2 linked regions of the Caenorhabditis elegans genome follow. The protein of the gene in region 1 interacts with the protein of each later gene in a pairwise test. Each region holds a gene or a part of one and is shown on either strand. Other genes may lie near its edges.

Region 1 (3,325 bases):
CCCAAAGAACCAAATTCGAAAAGCCTTTAGAAAAATCAGAAAATGTATAAAATTTCTGAAAGTTCCAAAAAACTTCTTTAAAATGCTGAAACAATTTCGGAAGATTCCAAAAAAAATACCTGAAAACCCATAATTGCAGAAATTTTGAAAAAGTACAAAAAAAAGTAAAATGTAATATTAGGTTGGTCAAAAAGTCTTTGCAAAATTCGTATGTTTCTTCATTTCTCAGCGTTAACTCGTTATTTTCCTATTCTGTTTTTTTATTTGCATAGTACGTAATGTGCATGTTTAATACATTTGAAAAAACTTTTGGGTGTTGTTCAAAATGACCGAGAATTTGCTCGCCGAAGGTCACACCCTCCGAGGGGTTTTCTGTATGGGTTCCCCCAAGGCTGCAATTGCAACGAAGCTCGTGGTAACATGTGTGCAGTGTTAGGCAATAATTCTGTCACCTATAATACCATAAAGTTTTGGTTCGAAAAGTTCACGAAAAAGAACTACGATCTCGATGATGAACCAAGATCCGGTCGGTCTCGTTTGGCTATCAATAAGGATAATTCGAGAGCCCTGGAAGATGATCCAAGAGCAACGAACCGTGAACTTTCTGCGACTCTCAAGCATCTCCAAAGAACCATCATCAACCATCTCCGCGAAACCGGAAGGGTAGAAAAGTTCGGTCATCTCGTTCCTCACAATTTGTCCGATTCTCAGAAAAATTGTTTTGTGACCTCTCTTTTTCGCTGCTCACTAGGAAACGAACAACAGACTGGGTATAGGATATCACTACTGGAGATGAGAAATGGGTATTGCATGTTAACTATACCAGAAAGAAACAGTGGGTCCCGGTCGAGGAAACCGTGAAACCTGACCTCAAAGGGGAACTTCAAGAGAAAAAGTGCTTCTCTAAATTTGGTGGGACAGTAAGGGTGTAATTTTCCGAGGACTTTTTCCAGACTCCGTTACAATCAACGCTGGCCTATACTCTATTCAATTGGAAAAGATGGTCCGTGCTCATCGATTACATCACCCTAGAGAATCAAAATTTAGGCTGCTCTATGACAACGCAAGACCGCATACAACTTTGAGGACCCGCCAGAAGCTCCAGACACTCGGAATCCAAGTTTTGTCTCACCCACCGCATTCGCCGGACTTGACTCCTACTGACTACCATTTGTTCCGCTCTCTCCAGAATCACCTTACCGGGCAGAAGTTTCATGATTGAAAGATCGTCGAAACGTGGTGGGACGACTTCTTTGCCTCCTAATCTCAGGAGTTCTGTGCGGAGGGTATTGCTCAACCTTCGTTGGGTTGGCAAGAAGTCATATACACTAATGGTGAATATATTACCCATTGAATCTCGTTCGCTTTGAATAAATACTCTCTCCAAAAAAAATTCAAAAAGTTGCAAAGACATTTTGACCAACCTAATAATTTATGCAAATTCCAAATTTTCTAAATACTCCTTCTTTAAACATTCCGTTAGAATTAAAGTATCCAATTAAAATTTCTGAAAATTCCAATATTTTTAAAAACTAAAATCTGAAATCCCCTAAATTTTGACAACTTTTTTCCATGTTCCTCAGGGAGAACCCTCCCTTATTTCTCAAACAAAAATGTACGTATGTACCAAATTTATATATTCACAATCGTAAACCAATCAATAACCATTGTTTCCTTCTGCTTTCCCATTGCCACGTTGCATAGCCCATTCCCCCCCGCCCATATATCGATTTTTTGTTGTTGCCAAATTGCAGCGTCCTACAGGGTTAGGTCTAGGTTAGTGTCATTCTTAACCACATATCTCAGTTCTTCTCTCACCTTTTATTTAACTCATTCTAAATGCCATCTCACACCAAGCCGGTCTCCAATGCTGCTCTCCCAAGAGTCCCAGCTCCACTGAGCCCTGCTCAACAAGTCAGAAAATACACTGACTACTTGCTCAAAGAGCACAACCGGTACTATGCACTGGAGTGTCTTCTCTTCCTCGACTGCCCGATTCGAGTATTCCGGGAATGCCGTACCGAGCAAATTGTCAAGAGCCAGTATGATGGACGGTATGAGTACCAGTACCCAGTCAACTTGTTGCTCCAGAAGCTTCGTCGTCTCGCTGCTCAGGAGTTGGAGCAGGATGTTGTGGAGCAAAAGATGCGGGAGGCTTCGAAGAACAAGGTGCTCTTCGCCAATGTGCTCAATATTTTTGCGGATTTGCAAAAGGAAGCGGAAAATTTCTCCAAGGTTAGTTTTTGTTGTTATTTTAAAATTTTGCTGAGAACTTTTTAATTTTCTGAAAACGAACTCAATTTTTAAAATAATAAAATAATTTTCGATTATTTTTGTACTTAAAATACCTACATATTAAGTTAAATTGCAATTTAAAAAAATTTCAAAATAAAAAATCTACACCGATTTTGCGCCGTAAATTTGGCCTGAAAAATAAAAATAAAATTTCGCACCAAATTAAATTTAAAAAAAAATTTCTAAACCTGACCAAACCACCTAAACTAATACTTTCCAGACTACAAAACAATCATCCACGTCACCATCAAGCTCCTCTTCATCCGAAGAATCGTCGGCTTCTTCCTCCCCAGTCGTATAATTTTACCAAACTTATTATATTCGTTGCCAATTTTTCATAATCTGTCATTATTTTCTTGTGTTTTCAACTAATTTTCCCTCATTTTTATTATCCAGTTTTTCAAAAAAACTAATCCCGATTGCAATGTTTCTTGTCAATTAAAACTGTACATCACAGATAAAACTTCAATTCAGTTTACTTATGTTTGCAAAAATATTCAGGCTTTAGGTTTTTAAGCTTTCAGGCTTGGACCGTTGAGCCCAGACTTGGATGCTAACATTTGAATTTAGATTTTCAGAATTATGGCTTTTGCTTAGGCGTAGGCTTGGGCTTAGGCATAAGCTTGGCGTCAGCTCTGAAAAAACATAGTCTGAAAATGCTCTCATTATCTACACACTCCAATTTTTCAGTGTTAAATAAATAAAAATTTGACTCCTAACTTTTTACATTTTTATAGTTTTATTAAAGAACTTGTTATTGTGAATCGAATGCGTTATGAATTATTGCAAAATCTTTGTTTGGCTTTATAGAGCAGTCTGAAAATGCTCTCATTATCCTAGGCCTAGGCTTAGGCTTAGGCTTAGTCTTAGACTTGGGCATAGGCTTAGGCTTAGGCTTAGGTGTAGTCTTAGGTGTAGGCTTAGGCTTAGGGTTAGGCTTAGGCTTAGGCTTAGTTTTCCAAGTTTTTGTATTAGGCTGTTTTTAAATTAAACTGTTTGAAAACATGTTCATTAGCTAAAAAAATATTTA
Region 2 (6,605 bases), on another chromosome or scaffold:
TTGACAGCATTTATCCGATTTTTTACTTATGAATATAATTATCCAAAAAACCCGAATATCGTAGCAAACTCCAAAACGTGTTAGATATTTAAAAGTATCTAGTCATTTTGGCAACTTACCAAACTTTCCAAAATTTGAGATTTTTGAACAATTTAGAGCCAATAAAATGTTGAAATACGAATATTCCAAAACTTCTCGAAACAGGTTTCTAACAATTGATTCAATTGATACTGCCTACAGTAGTCTTTGCGGCATTTCATAACTTTGGAGTGTCAGTGATTTACGGAATTGACCAGAACCTACATCTCTGAAATTCTCGTTATGTGAACAAAAACAATTATATTTCCCATTTTAATAGATTTATTCGACCAAAAAAACAAAACGAAAAAATAATTTTAAAAAAGCAAATAAAAATTATTGAAGTCGTCGACTCTGAAAAACGGGGGTTTTATGATTTTTATTTTCAATGTGATAAATTGGAGGGTGGAAAAGGAAAAATATATATAAAAGGTATTTTTAAAAATAATTTGCTTTATTTATAGAAAATGTATAGGTGAGGTTTTGAAACGGAATCACAACCAAGATTTGTTGAAATTGTCTGGGACGTTGGGGGGGGGGGGGGGGGGGGGGGGGTGTAAGCTAAATGAAAACTAAAAAACCCATAACGAAACAAGAAAACAGGAAAACTTTGGTATGCTTGAAAATTTTAAAGCATATGGAAAAATGCTTTAATGAATTTTTTGGTGAATTTTATAATTTCTGTTAATATTTTCAATGACTAGACAATGCCCATCAAAAAGGCTCAATAAAAAAACAATTATGTTCAGTCGAACGGCTCCTCTTTTTTGATGTCACTGTCGTTGAAGAATGATGAGTTGTCGAGTGATCGAGCTGCGTCGGAAGCACACGCAGAATGCACAATCTGTAATGAATCTTGATAAATTCACGAGTTTTGAATAACAAATTTTCACCTTTCCGTGAACATTAACTGTGTCCCTTAATCGCCACGTTTCCTCGTCATCATCATAATACTCGTCAAACTTCTCACCACAAACTGAACATTCTTTGGTTTTAACACCGGAAGATGCTACTCCTGGAAGTGGTTCCTCGGGTTTATCAGCTTCTTGCTCATTCGTTTCATCAGATGCACGTGGTGTAAGCCAAGTGGATGTCGATGGATACCACTGACGATATGGTACAGCTGCCGAATTGTTCGACCCGTGGCGTGCCAAATTTTGCTTCACATGCCAATCCATATGATCTTGCCATTCTTTTGACTTTCCTTGAGAATCATCTAATCTCATTCCACAAAACTTGCAAGCGTCGGCTCTCTTGGTAATCAACGCGTCAACGACCGAGTCGTAACGAATTTGCAAGAGACGAATATTGAAATCTGTGATGGCCGCCGGTGGAGCACTTCGCTTCTCAACACCACTTCCAATTGGAGATGGATCAGATGGTGGTGGTGGTATATTCTGCTGTTTATTCGCTCCACCCCATCTAGCGTTCTGTTGTGGTTGATGACGGTTATGATAACCTCCTCTCTGAAAACAATAAATTATTTAAGAGACTGTAATCCTGATAGTTAATTACCTGTCCAGCATTATTCATTCCCGGAATTGGAAGATTAGCTGGTGGTGGAGTCTGGTTGCGTGGCGAAGATGGCGATCTGGCCGGAGCTGGCAATATATTACGAGTTCTCAAATTTTTCAGATATGAGAGCCAATCCTCCTTCTTCTCCGGCTTCTCCGATGCAATTTCAATCTTCTTCTCCTCGCGCATTTTGTGCAAGAAATGAGTAAGATGATATGCTGGCTCAGGCTCAATGCGAACTTCTGGAGCACTTCCAGTCAATCGGATCTCATGACGACGTCCATTGATCGTTGCAATGATCGGTGGTCCTCCAAATTGACCTGAAAGTTCGAATATGAATTAAAAACTGTGAAAATATGTGTATTTACCTTTGAATGGGTGACCACCAATGTAAAGTTCGCGGGATGGTGCTCCGAACTTGACCATATGCTTTGATCCTAATATGTCAATTTGAGTTGGAGTGTCAAACTGAAGCAAGTGTGGGATTCCATCAATTACGAGGTTTCTTGGCGGTCCAGCGAAATAAATACGATGTGGAGCACCACCACGCTCGATAACTGCAGTATCATCGACAAACATCACTTCATAAGCTTTTCCATCGACAAAGATACGGTTGTTGGCTGGAACATCGAGTTTCGGTTGTTCTGACGAGTAAACGTTCTCTGGAGCTGGAAGGTGTTGCTGTGGAGGTGGAGCTTGAACTGGAACGATTGGTGCCGGATCTTGTGGAGGCGAATTATGATGATATCCTCTTCCCATTCCTTGATGAACTGGTGGAGGTGGAAGTTGTGGATGATGTTGTTGAGGATGTTGGAATGGAGGAGCAGACGAAAGTGGCGGAGCAGGCACAAATGGAGCCACTGAAACAGGTGGTGGCACAGGTATCATAGGACGGATCGGAGCAGCTACAGGGGCAAATGCGTGAGATCCTATCACTGATGTTGGCCTGCAAAATTTTCGATTTTTAAAACAGTTTAGACTAAATACTCACTTCAAAGTCTTTGGTCGGAAATCTTGATCTTGTGCTGATGGAACTGGCGGCTTCTTCGTCAAGCTTATAGATCTGAGATCCTCATCAATGGCTGTCTGTGGCTTTGGTGGTTGTTGTGGCTTCTTGCGAATCGGAGCATTTGGATGCTCGGATGGTGCTGATTTTCGCTTCAATCCAGCCGGTGATGATGATGTCTTGGATGCAGAGCTTGATGGAAGTAGTTTGTCACTGGAAAAAATGTTTTGTTAACTGAAATAAAACTAATCTTTTAAGCGTGTTATTTCGGACTAGCTGATCATGACAAAATTACTGTGAAATTTTATTCAATGTTACACTTTCACACAGATTTATTTTATTTTTTTTTTCATTCATTTTGTTTCTGAATTACTTTTTTTCAAAATTAAAACATCGATTCTTCTCATTACATACCAAATTGTAACACCAAGACACGCCTAAGACATTAAACTTACAGTGGATCCTGTTTTGGTTCTTTCTTCACTTGCTTTTCCTTGTTTACTGTGCCAGGTGATTTCTGTAATAACATAAGCGGTTTCAACAAATATCCCACCCAATTGGAAATAATTTATTTGAACAGTGACGAAGAATATTGTGTTTTTTGCCAATTCTGTCGCTTATTTTCTCAACTTCCATGATTCCGGTGAAAAATGATAGATAAAGCATTTCTTTTTTTTTCATAATAAATAAACGATCAGATGATATGTGGAAAAATAAAGACAAAACATAGAAAGTGATACATTGAAAAACGTGTGAAAATAAAAGTTCACAAGAATATTTTACCGTTTTTTCCACGACCGTCTTTGATGCTGATGCTGCACCAGGTGTGGATGAACCTATGAACTTTGGGTTCACAAATACACGATTCGTTGACGTGGAAGCCGCTGGACTGGTGGCATTGCCTGCTGGTCTACTCTGAGAAGGAGCCATAACTTGTGGATCATCACGAAGTGCACGACCAGTCTGTGGATTTGAAATTGGCCAATTTGGGTCAAGCTTATTGATCTGAAATACAAATATTAATATCATTAGCAATGATATTGCGAAATCGTAGCTCGATTTCAGGATCTGAAATTGAAAGTTTACCTTCATGTCAAGCTCATATAACTTTGAAGGCATGAACAATGTGGTGCTGGCCCATGTGACTCGTATCCTGTACAACGATGTACGGATTCTTTCATCTCCCTGAAATGTTTAGAATTCAAAATGATTTCGAAAAATAATTGCAAGCGAAATTAACGTGACATACTTTGTAGATATTTTTTGCGAAACTTCATTTAAATTTCTCAGCTATACGCGCTAAAATGTCGTGCGAAGTAGCAGGAAAAAGTTTTACACCGAAATTGGAAACAAAACGTTTTAACTTCTCAGGACATTTTGTGGAAAACTACGGTACTCAATCGCGACAAGACCCGGTCTGTAGCTGAGAAAGTTTTGACCTTATCTTCTAGATCCAAAAAGGCGCGCGAAAAATCTGTTAACTACCGCAATGAAAGCTGGCGAAACGTTGTTGGATTGCATTTTTGCGTGCTTTGCTAGATTAGACTAAGCCTTCCGTGAGGGTAAAAAAAAGGTAGGGCACGTTGATACCCTTTTTTACCCTTTACCCGAACAGGGTATTTTATGGACACATTACCCTATGCCTTCACGTAATAATACGAATTTTAAGCATTATTCGCTTTATTTGTAAAATTTTCGTTTTTAGAAATGAAATTTCTAAGAAAACGTTAAAAATGAATTAATACAGGGTAAAACCAGGGCATAGGGTAGGGTAGGGTAGGGCAGAGGGTAGGGTAGGGAGGGTAAAAACTCACCCTCATGGAAGGCTTAGATTAGACAGACCGATGTTTTTTAATTTTGATATATTACCTGTCGGAAAGCATGCTCGAACATGCTTACGATTTTCCTTGCAAACAGTGCATCATAATCGTTCGGCTTCTTAACGTTCTTCAAAATCGAATCACACACGTACATCACTAACAGTTTTTGTGAAGGAGAACACGTTGTCAGATGCCGCTCAATAACTTCAACAATTTGTGGAGCTGCTTTTTTGAAGTCGTCAGCCAGAATAGTTAGCAGATTTATTTGAGTCTTGTTGTTGTTTCTCAATTCGGCCAACGTCTCACGATAGTCTCGTGCTGCCGATTCGACCGATTCCATCATGAATATTGATTGTGATATTTACGAAGGTGAATAAAATAACCCGGATATTCGTTTTCACGTGCTGAAATTAATTATTTTTGAAAAATAAAAACTGCGTGAAAAATACAACGGGAGAAGTCAACGAGATTATAGCACCGTCCCGAGCAAAAACTAAATAACGGCGGGCAGCTTCAAAACTTCCGCACGAACATACAGGAAGTTGTGATGCTCCAAACGCGCAGGCGAGCCAACAGCTTGATACAACAAGCGCGAATATTATGCTAATCGCAACTGAAGAGTAGTCAAGAAACCCAAAGTCTAGCTGACAAAGTGACTTTCCATATATTTTTATTATTTTTTAGAGAAAATGAGGACAAAATCATAAAAGGAAGGGGGATAGGGGAATGGGAAGGGAATGTATATTTTTTAAAGGGTGACTGCACACCGTCTGAGGTCCGCCTCTTCTCGCACCAAACAGTCTGCGCGCTGTCTTTCGAGTCGAGTCCGGCGTATCTGGAAAATATTGATTAGTGACGTGAAAAAATGGATCAATAAACGCAACAAGAAACGAGGAGGTAAAAACAGAGAGAGAGAGAGATTGTGGATGGAATGAAGGAAATTGGTAAAAGGAGATGATGGAGGGGAACATGTACAAGAATTATGTGTATTAGCAAGTAATTTTAATTAAAATAAGATGACAAAATCAGTTAGCAAAAGCACATATAGAGAAAATTGCAAAGAAACGGCGTTATATTTGAAGAAAACTGGGAGAAATGAACGAAAGAGACAGAAAACAGGCAAGAGAGACAAAAGCGCGTGGTAGAGGCGTGTCAATCGATTTTGCGCGGGTCTCGCAGCGACCGGGTGAGTGTGAAGAGGCGCAGAGAACATTTTCGTAGCTGCCAGCAATTGATTCTTGCTGTGAAACGGCTGACGGGAGCCAGGAGGTTTTTACTTGTTCTGATAGTGAGGAATTTTTTTAAGTATGAGAAATTATATTAAAGAGCAATTCCCGAAAAATTAATTGACTTCAAAAAGCATGGTACGTCGCTTTTAGATAAGGAATGTGTCTTTAAATGTTCAATACAATTATTTGTACAAATTCGGATGAACTCGCTTCAAGATTTTAATCGAAACGAGTTTTAATCCATATTAATTTGAAAGTGAGAGTTGAAAAAAAGATGCAAACGAAAGAAGAACGGGACAAGAGCGAAGAAGCGAAGCCCAATGATTCGAAATTTTGCGAAGAAAACGGGACATCGGTGTTTCGCTACCGCAGAAAAATATTGAGAAAAATAGTGAAAAATAAGGATACCGATGCTGAAACGGCTAGTTTTTATTCAATTAGAACATAAAAGTTTGAATCTACATTTTTATTTAAGAAGCAAGAAAAAAAAATTTAAAATTTACAAATAAATACTCTGATTACAGTGTCACTAAGTTTAAAAAAATCAAGATTTGTACTGTAAAACCTGCGGTGGTGAGTGTGGGAATTCCGGTGGTCCATAAAGCTTTTCAGCGCGGTGCAAAAATGCTGAAACCATAGTTTTTACGACTTTATCGAAGAAAAGATGAGCGATTCTTGAGTGAAAAGCTGACTCGAATTCAAAAACTAAGTCATAGTGAAGAGTACATGAGCGTTCAACAGATGGTTTTCCCTGAAAAAGGTGAACGTTAATAGAGGTTTAACAAAAATTGATGGAACGAACTTTTCCAAACCGGAACGTAGTGTCAAGTGTGCGGAAGAGATTATCATTTTCTATGACGACAGACTGTAAACACATAGAATATCGAAAACCGAAACCTTCTTAGAAATCTTTGAATAAACTAACATGAACAACAGATGGCTTAATGTGAATCACAC

The links. The genes of interacting proteins can lie anywhere in the genome.
Region 2: the proteins of tag-276 (region 1) and pcf-11 interact in a two-hybrid assay, tested with the Caenorhabditis elegans proteins (one large-scale study listed by BioGRID).

Annotation. Positions count from the first base shown.
Region 1 is NC_003280.10:12,247,593-12,250,917, reverse strand, and holds tag-276 (uncharacterized protein), read left to right. Parts: upstream 1-1,775; 5' UTR 1,776-1,839; coding exon 1,840-2,235; intron 2,236-2,515; coding exon 2,516-2,596; 3' UTR 2,597-2,793; downstream 2,794-3,325.
Region 2 is NC_003281.10:5,023,562-5,030,166, reverse strand, and holds pcf-11 (Polyadenylation and cleavage factor homolog 11), read right to left. Parts: upstream 4,824-6,605; 5' UTR 4,760-4,823; coding exon 4,469-4,759; intron 3,785-4,468; coding exon 3,686-3,784; intron 3,605-3,685; coding exon 3,383-3,604; coding exon of another isoform or gene 3,137-3,382; intron 3,117-3,136; coding exon 3,055-3,116; intron 2,813-3,054; coding exon 2,585-2,812; intron 2,540-2,584; coding exon 1,962-2,539; intron 1,914-1,961; coding exon 1,594-1,913; intron 1,545-1,593; coding exon 972-1,544; intron 923-971; coding exon 824-922; 3' UTR 520-823; downstream 1-519. Other genes in the region: R144.13 (Coenzyme Q-binding protein COQ10 START domain-containing protein), read right to left, coding at 6,193-6,399, 6,451-6,513, 6,574-6,605.